Linked DNA regions of Alligator mississippiensis. Each later gene encodes a partner of the first gene's protein in a complex. Links are inferred from orthologs where the notes say so. Each region holds a gene or a part of one and is shown in the gene's direction. Other genes may lie near its edges. The genes, in order: CAB39 and STRADA.

Evidence for each region.
Region 2: the proteins of CAB39 (region 1) and STRADA are in contact, whole or in part, in a crystal structure (PDB 3GNI), measured with the Homo sapiens proteins. The link is inferred for Alligator mississippiensis from reciprocal best matches to the Homo sapiens genes CAB39 and STRADA. Residues at the interface, in NP_001124321.1 of Homo sapiens: Leu26, Glu27, Lys28, Gln29, Tyr55, Gly56, Thr57, Asn58, Ala85, Asp86, Gln88, Leu89, Phe92, Glu93, Lys96, Arg107, Glu138, Leu141, Ile145, Ser176, Thr177, Phe178, Asp179, Ser182, Asp183, Glu221, Asn222, Tyr223, Val224, Arg227; in NP_001003787.1 of Homo sapiens: Pro64, Leu104, Glu105, Cys107, Ser108, Asn109, Val112, Gln116, Leu119, His120, Lys123, Leu124, Phe125, Asn126, Thr136, Phe137, Ile138, Asp140, Asn141, Leu143, Tyr185, Met189, His223, Gly224, Arg226, Val426, Asp427, Asp428, Trp429, Glu430.

What each region holds. Positions count from the first base shown.
Region 1 is NC_081830.1:44,515,495-44,527,316, reverse strand, and holds the start of CAB39 (calcium-binding protein 39), read left to right. Parts: upstream 1-6,203; 5' UTR 6,204-6,227; intron 6,228-6,238; exon of another isoform or gene 6,239-6,361; intron 6,362-7,043; exon of another isoform or gene 7,044-7,143; intron 7,144-11,822. UniProt on the Homo sapiens protein: Component of a complex that binds and activates STK11/LKB1. In the complex, required to stabilize the interaction between CAB39/MO25 (CAB39/MO25alpha or CAB39L/MO25beta) and STK11/LKB1.
Region 2 is NC_081827.1:158,676,399-158,688,550, reverse strand, and holds the start of STRADA (STE20-related kinase adapter protein alpha), read left to right. Parts: upstream 1-5,290; 5' UTR 5,291-5,367; intron 5,368-6,706; 5' UTR 6,707-6,752; coding exon 6,753-6,788; intron 6,789-9,135; coding exon 9,136-9,193; intron 9,194-10,680; coding exon 10,681-10,709; intron 10,710-12,152. UniProt on the Homo sapiens protein: Pseudokinase which, in complex with CAB39/MO25 (CAB39/MO25alpha or CAB39L/MO25beta), binds to and activates STK11/LKB1.

The sequences.
Region 1 (11,822 bases):
CAGCATTATATTACCTACAGGTGATGCAGACATGATCTGAACCTTGTACAACATAGTCTCTGGAAAAGCCCAGGGATATTTTTTCATCAGAAATCTGAATGCAAGAATTGATATGGTATGATATGGCAAATAGTTTAACACATTAGAACTCAAGATCTTAATATGGCAAAAGTGTAAGGTAAGCATTACAATAAAAAAAAAACCCCAGCCTCCTGGCAAAATAAAAGTTGAAAGCACAGTAATAATTAACTGGAATTGAATAAGACAAAGCCCAAAGAGGAGAATTACCAATAAAGAGCAGCATAAATCCAGCCAATAATAAAATAGTTTTTGCGGCAATTTAATGCAGTAAAAAAAATATAGAAACAGATGGCAAATATTCTTTATTTGAAAGGTTTCGCCCTCATTTTTTGGACTGCTTTTAACATTTTAAAATATCTGCCTTCTGTGAGGCTTTGAAATGGCAGGTGTCATCTTTTAGAATCTCCAGCCATGGGACAAGACTTATAGTAAATAAAGCAGTGGGAGTCCAAGGTCAGTGCTATCTTAGAAACCTGTCATGCTGAATGGCACATAGGGCTTGGTTCTTACAAGTGCCTAAGCTTCATTCTTTAGATGCAGGTACTGGCTGGCATGTTAGTTAGGGCAGTGGAGAAGCTGCTCTTACTCACACCAGCAGAGGATAGGTGTCATGAAGCTTCATCCTATCTCAGTCCATATCCCTCCAACAGGCCTACTCTGCTGGTAATGTGATGGCCCTGCAGAGTTTCTGTCTCAGAAGTGTTTTTCACTGGGCATTTTTGGCCACTTCGCTCAACTCGAATAGGCTGGCAAATCTGATTCCTAAAGCACTAAAAAGTATTCAATAGACATCAACTAGTTCTCATAAATGCTCTTGAGTGTTAGGTAGTTGATGGGTAATGCAAGATTAGGGCCTTTCTTCCTCAGGCCTGGTGATGATAGAGAGGGAATAACTTAGTGGTAGTCCATACTACAAAATAACTATGTTTAAATTGAGTTGTGTTAGAAGCCGGCAAGGGCTGCTGTGAAGCAGGTCTTTGATCAGGAAATCAAAGACCTTTTTAAAGCGAGATAAATATGCTTCATTCTCATCAGTTAAGACGTATTGAGAGACTGACAGCTGGAAATGATAAAAACTAGAGCCTATGGGACTGAGCTTCATGGCAAGGCCTGAATAATTCAGGCAGAATAAAAGGGATTTCCCAGAGACTGGTTAAAAAATGCAGGGAGTGAGGGATCTTGGGGCATCTTGTAGACATGACACACACAAAGCTCAAGAAACCAACTGACAGTGAGAAAAGCAAGTGTGAGCATGGCCTGCAAAGGAGTAGACAGACACCATCCCCTGGCCTGCGAAATAGCATTGGTTGGAGAAGAAAGCTTGTAAGTATGAATAAGGAAACTTTCTTGTTGTTAGTTCCTTCTTTGCTCAGGGAAACAGGGCTTTGAGTATGTTATTTGGAAATAAACAGGAATTCATTGAAAAATATACCTGACTAAAATGATTTCTCCTCTTCATGGCAACAACCCAATGAGGTCTCAAATATTGGCTAACCTCTCACCTAAAGGAAGCAATAGTACTGTGATGAGATGTTGCTGTGGTCAAAGTTGTTTTTCCTTGCTTGTATCTAAGTTGCATGACTCCAATATGTGGTTTCTGCCCACAGAGGCAAGGTAAAACAATACTGGCAAAACAAGGGATCCACTGAGATGGAAGCAAAATGATCCTTGTCCACAATAACTTTCCAACCAAAACTATGGCTCTGTCTGCCTGAATCTTTTTTCTTCTAATGTTTTTCTAGTTGCTAGGAGTGGGGTACCAGCTGCAGCAGCAATGCCAGTGCAGAAAAGCTGCTTGTGGCTGTACTATTTAAACTATTGTCCTATCCTGCCTCCCCCCCCCCCCCCCAGCCGGTCAGGGTTAGATGACACAGTGGTTTACATTTTTGTGTCCAGTGGAAGTGCACTGGTTGGAACAAGAGGTAGATAATTCAGTGCTGAAGGCTATTTAGACACAGCTCACATTAAAAAAAAACAATGTAGAGAGCAACCTAAAGCAGACTCCCTGCTTCCAAACAACTTGGCCCTTTTTGTGAGTAGTATGTATGTGAGAGATACGAAGTGCTCATTTTGTAGGCTATCCAAGTTCTGTTGAATTCCATACTAGTTTTACTAATTGGCAAGTTAAGCTAGTGTTGCTAAAATGTAGCAATGTGACAGGGCTTCACAAGGTGATATTTATTCCTTCAGGATCAGATGATAGGGTGTTGGATAAGGGAAAGCTTTCACTGGCATCTCTCTCTTTTCCCTTATCAGTATTAATATTAGTATTTATTACAATATTGCCAACAAGCCACAGTCAGTCAGATTCCAATTAGTTTAAATCCTGTAGAAACACGTTTCCCTTCCTCAAACAGAATGTTTCTAGCCTAAAGAATTTATATAAAAAGACAAATATCAAAGAGGCCTGAGTAAGCAGAATACAATCAAATATCAACTTTAATACACACACGCACCTTGGCAAATGTTGCATGGATAAGAGAGTCATTACTTTTTGGTGAAAAGTCTTTTATCATCCTTGACAGTTTGTGCAAACATCGTTATTACTTTTTCCTGTGTTTTGGACATGGACGTAGAAAGTCTCCCTCTCCCCCTCTCTTTCTTCTCTTTTTGCTGATTAGCTAAAAAAATGCTTCTCTCAGGGCTTGAGCTATACTTAGTCTATCCATGCCTCCACCTCTAGTTTATAGTCACTGATTCTATGTTGGATGAGAAATTGCCTTGTCTTAATATATTTAATGGTACTAACTTGGCTTAGCACATCTCACAGTAACAAAGCAGCTTGTTCTTGTGACAGGGACTTTCAGCAGTCCTAGCTATTAATGTTTTTTATTTTTCCTCCCAAGGGGTTATACACTGCTGTTTTCAGTTTTAATCTAGTGCAGTGCTTCCAAAACTTTTAAAAGCTGAGCTTTCTTCAAGAAAATTAGCTTGATTTTTGCCCTTCAACTGTTGCTAAATGCTGCTAAAGGACCAACCTTGTCAGTTTAAACATTTTCTGATCCTTCTCTTTTTTCCTTCATGCCCCTTAGAGAGGTGCTCCCAACCTTGGGAAGTACTCTAAATGTGTTCCACATGGTGGGAAGGGGCTACTTGCTGTGTTGGTCAGGTTAGCATTGCTGAACTCAGGGAGTGGTGAAACAGCAGTGAGCGAGTCATGCTTTCATTTAGATCTCATAGCTGATCCTTCACTATAACTCGGGGTGCACTGATAAAGATTTTTTTGCTAATACTGATGGCCAATTATTAACCAGCCATATCAGCCGATACTGATCTGATTGCCAATTATGCAGCCTGGCAGCTTGGAGAGCAGTGCCCAGCCAGTAAGTCTGGGGGAGGGGCAGATCAAGGCCACCATGGTGAGGGAGGGCATGGAGCTGGAGCTGGGGCTGGGACAGGTGCTTCCCAGCCAGGGCAGGATGGGGCATGGGATGGAGCCATAGGTGGTTCATCCAGAGGGTTTGGAAGGGTGGGAAGGGAAGGTGGCTCCTGCCGTGCATGCACCCCTGGGGGAGGTTTGGGGCCATATGCCCCTGGGTCCGTGTGTGAGGGGAGGGAGTGTTGCCCAGTGCGGGCTCGGGGCCAGGGGCTGCACCAGCCTCTTCTCCGCGGGGCCTGGGCTGGGGCTGTGCTTGGGGTGGATAACAGAGGTGCTGGGAGGTGGGGCTACGGGTGGGGGGGCGGAGTTACAGCCATCCCAAAATTTGCTGTAGTCCCCCCAAACCCCCACTCCCAGCACCACTCCCGTCAGCCCTGCCCCACCTGCCCTGAGCACAGCCCTAGCTCAGCCCCAGCCAGGAAGAGACTGATGCAGCCTCTGGCCCCAAGTCCACAGTGGGCAGCCTCCCCTCATCCTGCATACAGAGTCAGGGAACACCCCAGGGGTGTGCATAGTGGTGGGAGTGACCCCCTTTCTCCCCTCCCCCCCATCCCTGGACAAGCTGCCCGTGACTCTGTCCTACACTCCACCCCACCCCTGTTTGGGAGTGCCTCCCCTGCCCCACACCTTACCCTCACCACTGGGGCCTCAATCTGCCCCCACACACCCCTCCCCCCCCGATTTACCAGCCAGACGCTGCTCTCCAAAGGCCACGTGCATGCTGCGGCTGCATGCATGCACACAGAATTTATTGGTGACATTATTGGCTACACCTGCCAAAAAAAGCTGGTTACAGATAATGTCAATTTTCCCTTTATTGGTCCCAATACGATATGGACTGATATAATGGTGAACCTCTAACTATAACAGTGGCCAACTTGCAGCATGGGTGCACAAGTGGTATGGGCAGCCTCTGTGTGTGGCACATGTTAGATCAGGGAGGGGATAGGCAATGCAGCTGCACATAGGGCAGGAATCGAAAAGCAAAGCAGCACATTGGGCAGGGAGAAAAGGGAAGGAAGTAGAAAACAGAGTAACAGACAGGGCAGGGGAAGCGGTTGGTGTGGCATTTGGGTAGGGTTCAGGGCTAATTTGTAGCTTGCCTGCCAAAAAGTTTGGCTCCTACTGCTTTAGTACTTTGTGGTGCAGTGTTTGTTGCTTTGGGTGATATGACACCTAGAATTTGGTTGGGGGAGGGTCTATGTTGAATAGAAGGAATTGACATAACTCTCCCCCTGCTTTATTGATGACACTTTGAAGTACATAAAAGTATTTGTTGCAAAACTACACATAATGGAGTTTCTTCTGTGGGGTTGTCCCAAGAGTTAAAACAGGCTTCTTATTTGGGCGCAACACACTCCCTCCCATACAGGAAAACAGAAAGAAGTGTTCTGTTGAATATTTCATGGGAGGTTCATGTTTACTTGGTGCTTTATTATGGTCCACTGAGGTGCTGTTTGTGATACTTTTATAGCCAGTCTGAGATTTTCATGTGCACATATTTTTTGGTCCAAATATGTGGAATTTGGGGCACATTCCATTTGTTTCTCCAGAATAAGATTTTAGTTTCTTGTGGCTGTCTTTTGAGTGTTTCTTCTAAAATGCCATGGCATTGTTCTTTCGCTGTTGGCTTTGGCCCATGTACTATATAACACGTGCTAGTTGGAGACCATCCTATGCAAGTGATGACCTAACTAGTTCATCAAAATGAAAGTGGCAGCCTATCAGGGAGCTGTTCGGTCCCTGGCCTGGGTTTGGGGGGGTATTCCAGTCAGACTGGTTCAATTGCTTAATGATGTAATTGAGGGGTGTGAAGGATACAGCCCACTGTGCTGCTGTGGACTTGCACCCCACATGCGGTGCATGCCGGGCTGACCTTGCACACTGCATGTGGTGCCAGATTCACAGCGTGCTGCATGAGGGACATGGGCTTGCCGGCGCACACGGCATGCAGCACAGAGCTGGCCGGACGCGCCTGCAGCGCCAGCACCAGATGTTTACATGGCAGGGGAAATACCATGACCATGATGGTGGCAGGGGAAGTGCCCTGACCAAGGTAATGCAATTAAAATGGCACTGTGTAGCAGAGTTGCACCCTTGTCTGCTTGCCCACAGGACTCCCTACGACTTGCTTCCAGCGAGAGGATCTCGGCTACACGCCAAATTTATTGATGTGGGAGACCCCGCCCTAGCTTGCTCCTGTGGCCGGAGGGCTGAGGGCGAGTGAAAGCCACGGGCACCTGAACGCCTCCGGGCAGGGGCCTGCACGTAGGACACCCGCCAAAGGACCTGGAAGTATGTGAAGCCGCGGGCGGGGGCTGCTTGCGCGGAGCAGGGCCACACGTGGTTCTTGTATGATTCAAACGGATTTGGACCTGATCTGGTTAATTTGACTTGGGCCACGAAAAATGTTCCTTAAATAAAAGCAAATCCCAGACCAGACCCGTGCAGTGCAGCAGCGCCAGGCCGGGCTGTGAATCCTCCCGAGGCCCTGGGCCTCTCCTCCGGCCTGCGGGCAACGCCTCCCGGCCTTGAAGCCCCCCCTCCGCCTCCAGCCTCCGCCCCAGCCCCTCGGGCTCGGCTGCCTCCTGTGGAGGGCGGGCGGCGCCTCACGCGGGCCGGGGCGGGACCAGGCCGCGCCGCCGAGTCCGCCGCGCCGCCGGGGGCAGCAGCGAGCGGGGCCGGGCCGCGGGGCGCAGGCTGCCGCCGCCTCCGCTGCCGGCTCGTCGCTGGGATCCGCCGCCGAGGCCGGGCCGGGGAGGGCAGGGTAGGGCAGGGCAGGGCCGCGCCGCCGCGCAGCACCCGGGCGGGCAGCACCAGGCACCAGCGTCGCAGCCGCGGAACAGGGAGCGCCGCGCCGGGCTGGGCCGGGCCGGGCCGGGCAGCGCAGCCCCGCCGCAGGTACCGCGCTGGGCTGCGCCGCGCCGGGCTGGGCTGGGCCGGGCCGCGGGGTTCCGTGCGGGGCCGGCCCCTCCCCTCCCCTCCCCTCCCCTCCCGCGGCGGGGCCGCTGCGTGCAGCGGTTGCTGCTGCCCCGGGCGGGTGTGCGGGGCGGGGGTGCGGTGCGGGGCCGAGGGAGCCCCCGGGGTGGGTGTCCGGGCCGGCGCCGCTGCCGTTGTCTCTCTGCCGCCGCCTGCTCCGGGGAGCTGCTCGTGCGCCGGGCTCAAACTTTCCATGTCACCGCGGCCCGCGCCGCGGCCTGGGCCCTGCAGCAGTCGGGCCTCGGGCCTTGGTGGTGGCTCTCAGCAGGGCCCCGCGGCGGGTTTGGGGGGATGCCTCACAACCCCCCTGGGCACTAAATCCTGTCACCCTGCGGCCCTGATACGGCCCTTCCCCCCGGGGGTGGGTGGGGGTGGGGCGGGGCGGGGGGGGGGGTCACTGGAGAACAGAAGAGTCCCCTCCTGAAACAGGGTGGGTTGAAGCCTTGTGTTTGACTTGGAGAGACCTTGTGTGCTTTCATCAGCAAAGCACATCTGTGGGAACAGGATAAAGAAAAAAGTCGAGTCTCAGCCTATTGTCTGTCAGGCAGGCGGCCTGTGAAACTTTAAATATATATTTGAGGTCTTAATGACTTCTGTAATTAAATTTGCAAACAGTCCCATCCAAAGACATGAGTGCGGGCCCTGCTCAGCAGCAAATGTGTCTTCCTGGAGCATTTTGGTGCTTGTGCTGTCGGATGTTACAGGTAAAATGGAGCACCCCGAACATGAGCCCTGGCAGCCAAACTGTTTAGTTTGCCCTTAAATAATATAGTTATTTCTATTGAGCAAATGGTTCAAAACTGCACGCCTTCTGTCTAACGTATATTGTTGTACATAGATGATTTTTTTTAGTTGTATAAAGTGACTTAAAGGACTTGCTGTGTGAATTAGGAGAGGCGTGGTAGTTGTTTCAGTGTCAAAAGAATTTCTTGACAATGTATTACTTTGTGTGCAGTTGATACACAATAGAAATCACGATAAAGACATCCCAGGACCCTGTTTGTTTGTACAATTGTCTGTCCTTGACTTGCTCTTATAGGAATATTGTTTTTTCAGTTAGCTCACTGGTGATCTTGTGATGTTTGAAGCGACTGAGCCAGCCGGTCAGCCTAGAGTTGACTTAAGTTTATTTGTTTATTGTCTTGGCATCTTATGGGTAGTGTGATTCTGTGAGCAGTTCAGGCTTTTTTTTTATAGACAGAAAAGGAAATACCACAGGAAAATGTGAGATTGTATCTTAACATTATAAAAGAAAACAGCGAAGGTGTCTAATAATAAAATATACGTGTTGGGGGTGTGTGTGTGTGTGTGTGTGGTTTTGTCACAGTGTCTTAAAATTCTAGTTTTGTCAATTGGGTCTTCACATTTCTTCCTCGTTCACATAAATCCAGGACTTTAAGCATTTTTCTGAGGATAAATTGCTTTACTGGTTCATCTTGGATTTTCAAATAACACAAGGCTATAAAGGCCTAGAACGGTGGTTGCCAACCAGTGGATCTCGGAGCCTCTTGGAGTCAATCCGAGGCTGGGGTCGGGGGCTGAGTGCCCACGTGCATGAACACATGTGCCCCAACCCAGCAGGTCAGTCTATGGCAGAGGGTAGGGGTGGGGGCTAGAATAAGGCCCCCGCTGTGAGGAACAGTGCCGCAGAGGCAGGACAAGGGGTAAGTTGAGTGGTGCCCTGGCCCGGTGGGACTTATCTGTTTGGGAGGCATGCCCCCAAATAATTTTTTCTTTTTCTGCCTCGATCTACCCCTCAACCCCTTCCCACCCCACAGACTTACCTGCTGGGCAGGGGGGAGAGTGGCAACAGCACACCATAGTTCTTGGGTTGCTTTTACATGCCAAAGGTGATCTCCTGCTTAAAGGTTGGAGACTGCTGGCCTAGAAGTTGTAGGGTTTTACTGGGGATATGCATATTTTTTCTACATTAATAAAAGGAGGCAAACTCTAATATGGTAGTTCAGTAATACTCTATGACAGTATGGTTTTGAGAGATAATTATACTCCTTGGGTATTATCAGGCACAGACAAATGTTTGTTCCCAATGGGGTGTGCTTATGCTAAGAAAACTCCACCTCTTGGAATTCTTGATTGCTATTATAAAATGTTTATTCAGGGGGGAATTAGATATTTCTTGCATCATACCGTCAAAGTTATTACTGTAGCTTCTCTAATTAACTGGTGCTATTCAAGTAGGCCTTACTGTTTGTGCTGCGTACTTTCTTGGTTCTTCAAATTCTTTGTAAAGACTAGAATTCCAAGGTAGTGCCGTTTCCCCAGAGTTTCCCGTCATGTGAATTGTTTGTGGAAAGAATAGTTTGTTAAAATGAGATCATTATTTAGAATTAGGTACAGAGCTGAATAACTTAAGTTTTAAGCATATTAAGGGCTTAAGCTAAACTTTTAAGGCCTTGTTTCAAGACTTATTAATTGCCATAGAAAAATTCTGGGTTCCTTAAAAATAGTAACTAAAATGAAAAGATTTCACAGCAACTGGAATGCTGGTAAAAAAAACACATGTTAATGGGATAAGGTTACAAGAATAACTATTTAAAAACACATTAAGATTTGCCATTTTCTACTCTTCAGATGCCTTCCAAGGTTCTCTGCTGCTTTTATGAGCAAAAATGAGATGAATACTATTTGCAAGACAATAACAAGAACAAAAAGGCAGGAAAATCAAGCAACATAATTGTCAGCTCGGCCACATAATCATAAAAGAATCATAATTTCCCTGACATCTTCCATCATACCCTGTGGACATCAGCTTTTTTATTGAAAAGCATTCACAAAGGCTGGGGAACAGAATTTCTAAATTAATTGCATGCGAGCAGTTGAGTGGCACAAGGCATCATATATTCTGGTTTATTTTATAGTTGTAGTTGGAGCACAGACATGCTAGATATTCTTATTAGACCTCAGGAAATGTGCTGCTTTAAGCAGGAGAACTGTTTCTTAAGCTACTTCTTTGCTTAGGTTCTTATGGTGCCACCCGGCTCTACCTGCTGCTTGATTTAAGACTAACAAGACTAACCACCTCTCTTACTAATTTGGGTGTATTCTTTATTATGATTTTTTGCAGGTTAATTCTATTTGCTTCTCTCTCCTTGAACCCCTTGTTGCATTTTAAGAGTTTTGTCAATGTAAATGAAACTAAATTATACTGTAGTAATGATACTCTAGTAATGAGAAGGAGAGAATTGTAGCAAATATACCAAAAATCCAAATAAGAAGGTGACGCTGTCTTGCTTAGTTCTAAGAACCTTGGTCAAGATTTTTTTTTAAAGTTCTGTGGTTAGCTCCTTCCTGCCATATTTATCTTAATAAGTGGCTGACATTCCAAAGCACTGAGCACCTAATAACTAGTCATGTGAGTTGGGTATTGGAGCTAAACAAATTTGCATGCTCTTTTTATCTTGCCAAGTAATAAAATGTTGTTTTCAGTTTTCACTGTTCAAATACCTTGTAAAATGGAACAAGTTCAGTATTGAATCACTCTGGAAGTAGCCACATAGTGCATACAGAAGCAAACATGGTCATAACTCAGAATACATCATGACCTATTTATTTTTTTTCCCAAGTAACATCAAAACATCAATTTAGGAAGTAATTTTTTTTGTCAGGTTTTAAATAAACTGGCTCAACGTGCAATCAGACTCCCCGGTTTTGAGTGTTAGCTAGTGTCCTATGTGGTCACAGGGTACTATAAAAAGTTTCAAACTATAGAGTTTAAATAGGCAAAAAGGAGGTGTGAGCTGTTTGGGTATAATTTGAATTTGAGATATCTCTGGAAAACTCATAGACAAAGACATAACTTTTTGGGAAAACTAAACACTGTAGCTCGTGTCCATTTAATGCCCACTTACTAGTAATGGTACGCTACTTCCAATTAAGTGCCAGTTTTATTGGTGAGTTGTTGCTGAAAACGGATTTGTTGCGCAGATGTCCTGCGTACTCCTCCCTCTTCAAGTTTTCATAAAAAAGGGTTCAGTTTATCTTTCCTGTAAGACGGTCCTGAAACCTAAAAAATTATTTAGTGCAGATATATTTAAATATATCAGTTCAGAACAGTAGGATTTGGCTTTTCAGAATTTCTCTTTTGAGTGCGGTTTTAAATGTTTCATACACCGATTACCTTGTAAGTGAAATAAATTTCAATGTAATGCTTTTGGTTACCACCTTGTTATAAAGAATTGTTACCATTTCTTACTAGCTTTGAAAACAAATGTTACAGTACTTCATTTTATTACTAAAAGCAGTATTGTCAACAGTTAACTAAAGCAAAAACTAATTACATTTTCCACACCTCAAAACGGCTGAGCAACGTAGAACTGGGACTGCAGTCAAATGTTTTAAAATGGCTAGTTTTTCACTGAGTTTGGTATACATGTTTGTAGGAAAGACTAGTTCAGTTAGTGTTTAAATAAATATGTGAAGATAGTGTACAGAAATGTAAATCTCTAGTGATGTTATGTCTCTTCAGGCACATTATCAAAATTATGACAAATATTCATGGAAATGGACAGCTTGGAATTTCAAGCTGCTAGCAATGAGAAATCTTTTATGACATTAGTGATATTGAAACAGTCTGCTTAAACCTGCAGAAATACATTAATCTAGGATGTTAATTTACACATTTTAAAAAAGCGTTTTAATATTTATGTCTATGAAGGCAGCCTTCTTAACATAAAGGGTTACCGTACTGTCTTACTGAATCTAGAGCAGCGATTCTCAACCAAGGTGCTGCAGCACCCTGGGGTGCCATGAGTTCCAAAAGTTAACGCTCTTAGGTGTGTGAAAATCAATATATGATTCACAAGATAAACCTGGAGATTTTGAATAGAAATCCAGTGTCAAAAACATTATGACCTGTCATGGTCTTTCTCAGTTCTTTGCAACACAAGAATTGCTTTTTTATTTTTCTATAGTAAAAAACCAGGTGAAAGCTGAGAGAGCCTGCATTTGTTGCCTGGAGTCTGGAAATGTTGAGAGCCACTGTTGCTGCTCCTAACTTTCCCAAGTAAAATGACATTGACAAGACTCTCAGCATTGCATTTCAATTTCTATTTTTAGCCAAAAGCTCACCTATGAAAGTTTGTTATGGGTATGTAGATTTTTATCATGCATTAGTACATTATCTTCTAGTATCCATGCTTGGAAATGTGGGGGAGACATTTGAAACAAAAAAAACAACAACTCTACTCTGAAATAGAACTAATAGTAACATTTCCTACAGTGATTATGCAGACACATGTGCTGACAGTGCTTCAGTACATCCTACCATGATAGAATCTCTGTCTGTAGATGTGTCTGAGTAAGCAGTTTCAATAGTTGCTACTGCAGTTATACATAGGAAGTAAAAATTTAGGCAATAGCTTAA
Region 2 (12,152 bases), on another chromosome or scaffold:
AATCTGTAGGCTTGATTGGCATAGACAAAAGCTGTACATCCGTTATGTATCAGGGAATGGCATACAGGAGCACTGTTTCTTTCTTGTAGTTCTGAATGCTGCAAGCTTAATACAATGTGAATTCTGTACTTGTAAGTGTGTTTCTTATGAAGTGAGTGCATGGTGAGCTGACAGCTTCATTTAGAGTTTCATAAATATTTTAAACTTTACAAAGTCACTTCTTAAATATTTTCCTCCTGGTCTGAGCAGCTGCTGCCTATTTAACGTTCACCCAGAAGCTAGATTCTCAGTGAAATATCTGTACAATTTCCCCTTCTACCAACTAAGGGAAAACTCTATAGAAGATAAGCATCTTTTTCATCTGTTAAAAAGGCTGTTTACTTCTGGATTTTCAGGTTGGTTGGTTGGTTGGGGGGAATAGACACCTGCGCAAGCACCTAGCTGTCTGTCAAAGCTTTTGCATTTTATAAATGCTTCCTATCTAGAAGGCATTTTATTGTTGCTTGTAAGGGACACTCTAGTTTTGTGAGGGGATAATCTTTGTCTTTTGCATTTTCTTGTTTAATGCTTTATGTGCAAAACTTGTTCTGAGGCAATAACGATGACTTGCTGTTGAAACAGCATGTGCTAAAAGACTTTTTGTTGCAGCATGAGACGCTTCTTCACACTAATCTGAATGCAGAAATCTGTAATATGATACATGCAAATATATTAATTTTATAATAATTGGTGAAAAATAATTTAAGCCAAAAATTAACATAAGATTTATGTGGAATTTAACTATTTTAGCATTACTTAGCTTTGAAGAATGAGATTTAATATAGTATTTCACAAAGTTCTTTTAAAGAAAATACCATTAATTTGTGCTCTTTTCAATAAATGGAAAGCTTTCCTGAAGTCCCATGAACTTTTGGGCCATGGCAGCTAATTTTGTAATATGAACTACCTATGGAGAGTAAAATATAACTGAAACATTCCAACTGCCTTGACTTTGGACTCATTCCTTTTCACCATCTCGTATTACAGCCCTTACATTAAAAAAAAAAAAAAATCAATATTAAAACAACTTGCTATAGTTATATTTTTTTTCTCCACTCTTCTTCAGCCTAACTTCTTTGTGTTGCAAGAGTGTTGCCTTCTAACAGAAATTGTCGTGTTTGTCATTCGGGATGGAAATTGCCATATTTGTATCCTTCTCTTAGTAAGAAGAGAGCCAGCTTGTTTCAGATGATTTCAAACTTCTCACTTGGTATAGATGAAATGTAATTGTCCCAACACTAGATGTCAGCTCTTTCTTTTAAGGAACATTTCCTATTCATCTGTGTTTACAGCTAGAGGAAAATGGGATTCTAGAATACAGAGCATAAATCAGGTGGTCAAAATATAGCCTGTGGGCTAGATCTGGTCTGCTGGTTGATTGCATCTGACCCATGCCCTGTGGTGCACCGCATGGGGCTGAGCTCTGCCTGTTCCCGCCCAGGGTATCCTGTGCTGAGCTCCAGCCTGTACCTGCCCCATACCTGTTAATAGCCCCATAGCCCTGACCAGTGTGCACAGCTTCCTGGCGGGGCTGCTTCTAGTCACCTGCAGGCAGCTGCTCATTGTGTAGGGCAGACAGAGTGGGTAGAAGGTGGTTGGGAGCTGGAGCCCTGTGCACTGGGGCCAGGAGCTGGCTGCATGTAGCTGGGGTGACTGGGATGGCCACTACCAGTTTCCTGCACTACCTGCTGCCTGGACTGGTGCAGCAGGGGCAAAAAGGAGGAAGAGAAGCTGGGCAGCTGCAGCAGGAACAGCCCTGCCAGGAAGCTGCGTATGCTGGCACAGTGCCTTCGGTGGGAAAGAGCAAAGCTCGTCCCATGCAGAGTACTGTGGGCTGGATGCAGGGGGGAGGCAGACTGTATCTGCACTGCACCGCCTGGGCAAGTACATGTCCCCTCTCTCACCTCCATCCCTCCCTCCATCCCTGGCTGGCTGGCTTTCGGGACCTAGCATGTGGGTACCCCCACACACTCACCCCCTCCACCTCCACACCCCGTATACAAGAGTAAGACTTTATTTTGAGCTATCATGCAATTGCCTCTATATGCACTACTCAAAAAGCATAAATCAGGATAAAAATATTGTTTAATGAAATTAAAATATGTTTTTTTTAAGATGCTTGATTTTTAGCCATATGGGTTTTTATCTACAATTTGTTAAAATGGTATCTTCTGAAAGATTTTTGTGTGTGGCCGTCCACATCTCGCTAAAACTAGTTAAGTGGTTTGCCAGCCAAAACAATTGCCCAACCCTGGTGTAAATTCACAGCCCATTCTCGGATAGCTAACAGTGCTAAAAATCTTACAACAAAGTATTAATATTTTTAGGTGAAAGATGAGTCGCAATGGAGGCTTGTTATTTATTTGTTTATCTTCCATTTCAGTATTAAAATATTAATGGCGGTGGAGAATAATTAACACTTCTTGCATGCCTTGCAGAGATTTTCAGAATTTTGAGAGTAGTTTGGCAACTGAACAGAATACTTAAAGAAAAAAAAAAAGCATAAACCAATACTCCAGTCTTCCATATGCATTAAATTTAAAAGTGTTGGAGCATTTCAACTGTAGGGCAGTGTTGGGTTTCAGAGAAGCTTTTGAGTTGAGAGCTTCCTACCACCATGAAACTGATCTTCGGGATCACAACTGAGAACTTGGATGCAAGAGTCAGGAGATGAATCTCAGTGAAAATTTGACGCCACCTTTAATTCTATCAGTATCTATCCCTGTCACCCATGTAAAGTCCCATTCATATTTCCAAGATTGATCTATGCCCCTGAATCCATGGGTCTGTTCCCTCCACATCCAGGCACAATTTTCCTTTTCTTTTTCCTCTATAGATATGGAGAGAAGAGATTCCATTCCCCCCACAACCCTTCCCCTCCAACATACAAGACATCAGAAGCTGTATGAACTTGTCTGCATTTCTTGGTGTGTTACATAGCCTCTTTATGTGTTTTAGTTTCTGAGTCTATGGCAGGTGGCCCCTTCTGTGAACAGGCAGCAAAGCGAAAGATTTGGTTTCTTAGCTTTTGGAATTTTGGTATATTTTCAATATCCATCTCAGCTGCATGAGGCAGCATTATCATTTATTCTGGCATAGCTGTGTGGAACCATTGACTGCCTTGGACCGTTCTTCCTTGTAGGAATAATAGTTCTTAGCTACTTCTGGAAGCGTAAGTCTGCAGACTATGCCTTTCTGATAAACTTACATAAGCCTGATTGCAAGAACAGTGTAGAAGAATAAATGATACCTGATCTGAAATGAGGTGTTTTTTTTTCCCATTAACTAGTAATAATATCAGTGAGAGATGATCTTACCACCAACAATATTAAAAATGCTATGTGACTGAATCCTGCTCAAACTTGTTTAAGATTAACAGCTGACTCTATTTTTATACCCTGTAACAACTGAGATACCAACTGTTGTACTAAAGAAATTGAACTGTTTGCATAGCTGAGCTGGCTTTCCCATTTTTCTTTTCCTCTAACAAATGCTTTGTGTTGAGTTGGTAGTGTTGGAATAATGCAGCCATGATGGCCTAGGAATTGTGAGGGGCAAGGATTATTATGACTGATACCTTTTTATTGGACCAGCCACATGCGGACTTAGAAAAGCTGCTGGATGCATTGCATCAGTCATCGGATCAGATTTGCATTCAGCAGAATTGTATTGCATTCAAAAGCTTGTGTAAGCATACCCCAGCCATGCAGTTGGTCAAACAAAACATGTCACCCGCTGTGGTCCTTGCCTCTTATACTGACTTGTGCATCCTCTAGGACAGAGGTTCTCAAACTGGTCTGGGGGCCACCACTGGTCCGCGTGCTCCATTCAGGTGATCTGCAGAAAGGCTGCGGAACAATCAAGAATATCTGTACTTGTAAGACAGCTGATATTAAAATATGAGTTGCGTGCTTTGATTTGTAGAATGAAAAAAAGTTTAGCTGAGATCCTCAACAATTTTCAAGTGGTCTGCAAAAAAAAAAAAGTTTGAGAACCACTGCTCTAGGAATTTTAGAGGAAAGGTGCAGCCCTTTATGAAGCTGTCCAATATAACTTGTAGTGATGGACTGTTACTAGTGATGCAGGTTCTGGCCTTGGGCACGGCCTGTTTGACCTGAACATGTTACTGAACTTCTTTGCCTTGGCATGACCATTATGATGCTGAGCTCCTATTTAAGCATGAATTAAACCAGTGAAGTAGGTAACTGAAGTTTTAAATACTGCTTTGAGGTCCTTAAATGGAAATCACTGTAATGGTGTAAAATTGCCTGCTGTTTATGTGCTTTGTGATGACAGGTGCCCCTTGCTGCTCTGAGAGAAAAGTGTGAGACTTGACACAAAACGGCAGCTGGTAGGAGAACGGAGGGTGGCAAAACTGCCCCCAAGGGCTGTCTGGCTCAGGCCCGGGATGCAGTGTTACTCTCCTCTAGGCTCCCTTCGCTCATGTTAAACAGCGACTGCCTGGCCTGCAAACTCTCCCCAGCAGAGACCAGGTGTTGCCAGGTGTACGATAATTAGCATGTTTGTACAATAGTTTCAACCCTTGTACAACATACGATCAATAATAGTACAAACGTTCAAAATGCATGGATAATTTTGAGGCAGCTCATTGATGCAGCACATTCATCACCCACGTCACTCTCGGGATGTCTTAACTGAGGTTTGGGCTTGCTCCCAGCTCGCTCTCGCCACAAAGGGACTTTGATCCCGAAAGCTTGCAGAAAAGGCCCATTTTCTTGCGATTTCCCAGTTGGTCTAATACCAGCTATCATTTTGGAACCAAGAGTTCTAGTTTTTTTGTACGTCTTCAAAATAAAGACTGGGTTTTCGGTCATAGTCATGTTGGTCTAAGGACATGAGCAGGCCAGGGTCTCGGGAGTAGATGTGATCTCTCTTATTAGACCAACTGAGTAGTGGAGGGGAAACAAATTTGGCAAGCTTTTGGGTGGGGCGGGGGGTCTGCTGGCCTGAGGCTCCAAGGAATGAAGACACGTTTCAACGCTGCTGCCCCAGTTCTCGCTCACGGGCGAGTCCCAGCGAGCAACGTCAAATAAAGATGACTTGCCCGCATGTGTATGTCCGGGTTTCTCCAGCGCACGGCCGGCTTCCCGCACACGCGGCATTTCCGAGCGTCCCAGGCGGGCCTTTCCTACTTCAGACCCACGGAGCCCCGCGGGCAGCACCTAGTCCCTGCCGCGCGCTCCTCCGCTCCGCCCCGCCCCCGCGCAGAGGTCACGGCGGCTGTCACGCACGCGTCACGTGGTGGCGTCATCACGCCGCGCACGCAGCTCTGCTGCGTCCCGGGAACCGGCGCCTGGAGCCCGAGGAGTGAGCGAGTGAGTGAGTCCGCGCGCCGGGGCTCCTTGCCACTGGGTCCTGCACCCCCTTCCCCTCCCCCGGGTCCGGAGTGGCCCCGGCCCTCGCGGCCGCTTCTCCGCAACCTTCCGTGCGCCCCCCTCGCCGGGAGCCGGGAACGACCCGCGTCCCCGGCCCGGCAGCGCCCGCCCGTGGGAAGCAACAGAGTCCCGGGTCGCGCCCGAGCAGCACGACGGGCTCCCCGCGCAGTGCTCTCATTTCCCGCCTGCCGCTGCCGCCGCCTTCCAAATGGCTGTGCCCCGTGTCGTGCTGCCAGGGGGTCAGAGCAGCGCTTCTCGACCAGGAGCCAGGCCCCCTGCGCGGCTGGGAGATCCTCTGGGCCACCGGCGCCTCTTGGATCTGGGGGGGACCAGCAGAAGCCACCGATGGGCCCGGCTGGCAAGCACCTGCAGAAGCTGCCAATGGTGGTGGCCTTGTCAGGGAGTCGCACCAGCCCTGCCCACGTCAGCATCAGCTGTCGGGGGTGGGGGGCACTGGCCCTGTCGTGGGAGTGGGGCATGAGCACCCCTATGCACCCACTACCAGTTGCCTGTCAAGGGCAGTTAGCGTCACAAACCTGATTCGCCAGATAAACTGTTTCTCATCTCTGAGGGGTCTTTCAGAGTTCTTTGCAATGGAAAAGCTGCTTTCTTCTTTTTCTGTAGGCAAGAAAAGAGCGAAAACAGCATTGGCATTTTTGAGGGCTGCCTTGAGTCTATCCAGTGAGACCCCTGGGTTTAAAGAAATGATTACTGAAGGTTTGCAGGGCTGGACCTGGCTCGAGCCCGTAATGCTAGGTCAGCGATGTGCAGCCAGGGAACTGCGGCACCCTAGGATGCTGCAGGATCCTTTTAAGGGTGATGCACAGTATTAGCACTGTAAGTGTTTGCACACCTAACACATGATTCACCACATAAACTCATGTATTTTCTAATAGGCTTCCTTAGCATCAGAGACATTCTGATCTGTTGAGGTCTTTCTGAGTTCATGCAACAGCAAAATTGTCCTATTATTTCTCTGTAGTCAAAAACCAAGTGAAAGCTACATTGTTGGCACTTCCAAAGGGGCCTTGGGTCTAACAAGGGGTTCCTTGAGTTTAAAAAGGTTGAGAACCTCTGTGCTAGGTACTGTGCAAACACGCCATGAACATCCTTTCCCTAAGGAACTTGCTGGGTATTGGTCTGTGCATTGCATGGTAATCAATGTGTGATAGAAGATGTTTGGTAGGTTGTTTAGGTTCATAAATACTGGTTTTCAAAACTTGCTGCTACATGTTGTACAAATAACTGATTTCTCTTTTTCCTATTTTCAGGATATTTTTAATTTCACAAATTTGGAGTATTACAAATCTGGATTCCATGTCTTTTCTTGTAAGTAAACCAGAACGCATTAGGGTGAGTGTTATATGCCTTTTAGTTTTATTCCAAATAGCACTGCATCTGTATAAATTGTTCACTTCCATACATGAAAAGGTTGCAGGAATGAGGCCTGGGACTCGAGTGCCATTTGGACACAAGGTCTTCAGGGTTCTTATTACCTGAAACTTATGACCTGAAAACTAGATTTTTAAGTTTATTTCTAAAAATGCCTACTTGCAGAGGGAGAAATACTTCTAGAACCTATTGATCTCTGAGCAAGGTACTATATGTGCTTACAATGTGCTTGTATAATATGATAATAAGCATTCATTCTCTTCAAGTATTGGTCATTCAGTAGAACCTTATTACAAGGAACCATTTTTATAGCAAATCCTCCCTTTAACAGTCCCGACAACAGGAACCAATTTTTTTCATTAACTTTATTATAGCAAACACCCTCTTAATGAATTCTTCTCTTGAGTCCATGGCAGTTTGTTATAATGAAGTTATACTGTTTTTGCTGTTGTACAGTTGTGGTTTTATATAATTCCTTATAATTGAGAAAAATTGCAGAAATATTAGTCTTCCACCTCCTTTCTCTTTGAAAACATGCTTTTGGTTGGCCTTAGCGCATATATTTTGGTTATTGTTCTAAACTTAAAATTCATATAGAAATTTTATATTTAACTTGAATGTTCCTTTTTTAATGGTTGGAACAGGACAGCTTTGTTCTAGTGCTTAAAAATCAGGCAGCAAATAAAATAATTAAAATTAAAACTTGAAAATAAGTTACATGGAAAATGACTTAAGGATGTATTTTTTAATATAAAACACCAATACTGCAGGTAGGGAAATGCATCTTAAATATCAATTTAATTTTTTTTAACCTGTATGGAGTTGAACTGAAAGATCAGAGCAACATGCCCATCAGTCTAACTGCTACCCTGAGTTTTAAACATTGTTCAAAAATGTTCTTTTGAAAGAAGCTAACGCTTCATTAGCATGTGTACTTTTACTTTTAATATTTAGTTTAACTGATAAAAATAGACCTCTCCAAGGCAGTCGGCATCTAAACACATCATAAGAACGTTTACGAGCACTAGAATGTTTTGCAAGAGTAGGAGTATGAAGTATAGCATGTTTTTTGGCCTGAGAGTGTATTTGGCCTTATTTGCTAGTGTAGAGCTTCCAGATTGAGTGATATGAAGGTACAGTAGAATCTGAATCTTCTGTAGCCAAGTAATTCAAAACCCACTTAATTCACAGTGGTTGCTGAATTAAGGATGAGCCATTCAGCTGTTTGCTGTGGCTGGTGTTCTGAAGGATGCTGTTTCTCTACTCTGCTGGAGCGCCACAAGTTGTCCATCACAGTTGATCAAAAAGTGATGCCTTTTGAAATAAAACAGCAGGAAAGAGATGGAACACTCAGGAGTCCTGCTCAACTTTTCTGCAGCTCTGTATACCTCTGGTTACTTCATAGACCCTCATCTTTGCAGGGAGTAAGGAATTTAAATCCCTCAGAGTATCTTGAACCTCATGAATTTGAAATGCAGGGGACCAAAACATTTCAAAGTCAGTATAAAAGGGTTCAAATTATCCAAATTACTGTGGGTACATACAGACTTAGTTCACCTGCATGCAGACATTAGTAACTGATAATAACTGAGCCGCTATCCCAGTGACTAATTAAGCATACTTTATGGTATGCAGCACAAGGAGTTCCTATTGTAGAACAACAGCAATGATCGAGGGACACTTTCTCTAGTTAGCTCAGTCTAAGTGCCAGCACCGTCTGCAAATTTGCCATCCCCAATTCCACCAAACTGTCCTCCTCCCTCTCCCCCAGTATACCCGCTGGCACTAACCCCTGATCGTGCCAAACTGCCCCAATCCTACCAAACTGTTTCCAAGAGTTTATGGTCCAAGGGACCAGAAAATGACTTCAAATTGCAAGATAGCCATATTTCAAATTTTCTATATCATAAAGTATACAAAAACGTATCTTTTCAGCTGTGAGTGACAGTAGCTTTGAAGGATCCAATACTTTAAACTATCTGATATTGAACTAACAAAGTTTTTCCTATACTAACTGCTCTGGAATCTTACATTATCCAGAAGTTGGTTGTGTGCTGCCAGTGGGTGTATGCCATTATACAGATATGGGAATGTTTGCCATTTGAAATAGAAATAGTTGGTTATGGCAGATTGGAAGAGGAAGGAGGAGGGGGATATCTCAGCTGATCAATGAGCTCCTGTTTGTACTGTGCAAGTGTTAGACTAGTTAAGTCATTGGTATAATTCTGTCTTGGGTGATACTGAAAAAAAAAGCTGGTGAATGTATCTAGAGAAAATAATTAACTGGCTTTGGGGTTTTCTTCTTTAGAGGTGGGTGTCCGAAAAGTTCATTGTTGAGGGATTAAGAGAGTTGGAGTTGTTTGGAGGTAAGTACTGTTTTGTTTTTTTTAGATCCTTCAATAGAAATCTTGTTTATTTTGAACGTGAAGGTACCCATCAGTTTGGTGTAAATTAATGTCTAACTGCCACCGGAATTAACATATCAATTTGTAGTACTAAGTTTTCAGATTGGCTCACAAAAGTGAATTTAGAAGGAAAATAATTTGTCATATTATATACAGGAGTTGCTTTACAGCCTGTTGTAGTGCAGGTGTCAGGACCTTTCAGTTCATGGTTCATAACATTGTCTGAATAACCTGTTCTCTGTGTTAAGTACAGATTTTGAGCCTGAAAAAGTTACTTGCAGCTTGTTAAATTTGCAAGTAAAGACAAATGTTAAAACAATAACCTTACAACTTCCCAGTATAGCTGACACACAGTGAGCTGGGTTCTGTTCTGCCTCATACCTTATCACAATTGGCAGCTGAATTCTGGTCATAGACCCTCTGGTAGGTGATGTAAGCAATGAAAGGAAGATATTTGAGGTGGAGAAAAATCCATTTTACTGATGAATTGAACAGATATGATCTTTCCATGTTTGGCTTTGTAACTACATTGAAACACATTTTTCTATCAGATGTTGTTAGACTCTGTTCACTTTCACCATGGTTACAAGCCAGTACCATTTAACAGAAGTCCTTAGTATAGCTTTTGAAAAATATTCCTGCTAACTAGGCATCAAAACCAGATTGGTTGTACTGCTCAGTAGTGTGTTAAGCTACAGGGATACCAAAACTGTTTTAGAACCTGACTGTAGCTAGTACATCTTTGCTGATGATGAGGCCTGGACTATTTCCAGGGTTTTTGTTTTTTCCTGACTTACCAATGCTTCTTAGAAGAAATAACTTGTAAAATATCTGCCACAGTATAAAAAATCTGATTTAGAACCCTTTCTCTGAGTAGCTCTTAACCCCAGTATAAATAATGTAATTACATCTGATTTTAATGTGACTTGTACTTGGGTTGAGAGTGGATCTACTGCATTTATCTAAGCCCCTTGCTGCCTAGCAACACTGTTAGAAGTAGCCTAAGAAGGTTCAAATAAGATTTTTTGGTACTTTAGGAGATGTGGAATTCTGCAAAATATTTCTCCGTTTTCTGCATCTCTCTTGTATGTGTTGTTAAACATTCTGAGATATTATTTAAGTAAATTTTCCCCCTAAATATGTAAATACATCCATATCATCATCTTTTAAAAAATGGATTAAAGATCAGAAATTTAAAAAAATGTATGGCTGATGATGAGGCTGTTTGAATCTGTTTAATTTCTATGCTTTTTTATTACATTTCTACCTGTACCATTCTTGATGTTTTTCATGCTGTTTGTAACTTACCATTGCAAATTTAATTGTAAATTTAAAATGTTCTGCCTGGGAGTGTTTACCTGTGTGTGCCTAGCACCAAAAGATTACTTTTGGGTTATTTACATATCTGTTGAAGAAAACATGGTGAACGATTAATTTCTTTAATCCAGAGCAGCCTCTGGGTGACTCTCGGAGAAAAGTAAGTGATTTTTTTTGCAGGCTGTGGTGCTGTGTTTTATTGCATGGAGATATTTCCTTGTGGAAGCTTGATTTTTCTTTTTACCTTATTTATATGTCATCTATAGATTTAGATTACATTTGTGGAAACAGGTTTCACCCTGGAAAGCAGATTTTGGTGTGTAGTTTTGAAATGCTCGCATGTGGTGGTTCAGTCATAATTCTAAAATTTATTCTCCAAAGCTCATGTTTTCAAATTGGTTACTGCTTCTGTATACTACACTTAAGTTGTCTTGCATTTGTTTCTCAAAAGCACCAAGCACCTGTAGTCCTATTTACCTAAAATCATTTGAAGCTCTGTGTGTCCTGAATGTTTGAAAATTGGGGCAGCGTTTCAGGTTGAACATTCAAAATTGGTACCTACTTCTGAACATTTTTACTATAATTTCCTTTCTTTACTTTCTACCAATTCACCAAAAGAGGACCCAGCATCAAAAAATAAAATTGGATAATCTTCAGTTTTAAAGGGGCTTTACCCTGCAAAATTCCATTGCGATTGCTATCTGTCTGACTTGCTTCAGAGCCCACATTGCCAAAGTTTCATGCCTTTAACTGGTGCTGCATTTTGCATAGACTGTTTCACATTCTTAAAGATGAAATCTCCTGTGGTGCCATGAAATACAAACCAAACATGTGATATAGTCAAAAACAGGACAGTTTGGACTAGTCTAGTTCTTGTGGTCCTGGCCACAGAGGTTGTCTTAGCCTTTAAATTGGTATTAAATAAGCGATAATTCTGATAATGATAACTTTAAGCTCAAATTTATGTAACAATTTAGCTTATGCCTACAATTTTACTTGTGCAGACTAAACGGATAAAAGTCAGGGTTATATTGGATTTGGTGTTTCCAGAGGATATATCCTCAGTTTAAACTCATTGTTTTACAGTGATGTCTTTTGTTAGGTTGTTGCAAGATTGTGTTTAGATTAGTCTAGAGACAAAATGCATCTATTGTGCGTAATTTGTCTTTCTAAACAGAAGACATTAGTGGGTACGTAGACATCTTTGATGATGATGCTGAAGTTTTTTGCATTGAAAAAAGCACCAAAATAACTTTTCTATTTGGGTAGCTATGGAAGCAGGGCAGTAATTACTAGGTAAAGGAAATTATTGTAACTTGAGTCAAAAGTGAGCATGAGACACTTAAGTGAAAACAACAAATAACAAAATATTCTGTTTTACTATGGCAACAAACCCCAAATGTAATCCAAATGAATTTGATTTGGCAAATTCAAATCCTTACTAGGGTTGCACAGCTCTGGTTTCTTCATGGCATTGATAACAGAGCAATTGCCCTTTTAAAAATAATTTTCTTAAATGAAAGTCAAGTTAAATCCTAACCAGAAAGGCTGAGATTCCAACTGTTAATGAAGATCACATTTTATAAAGCTAATAAGGCATGCC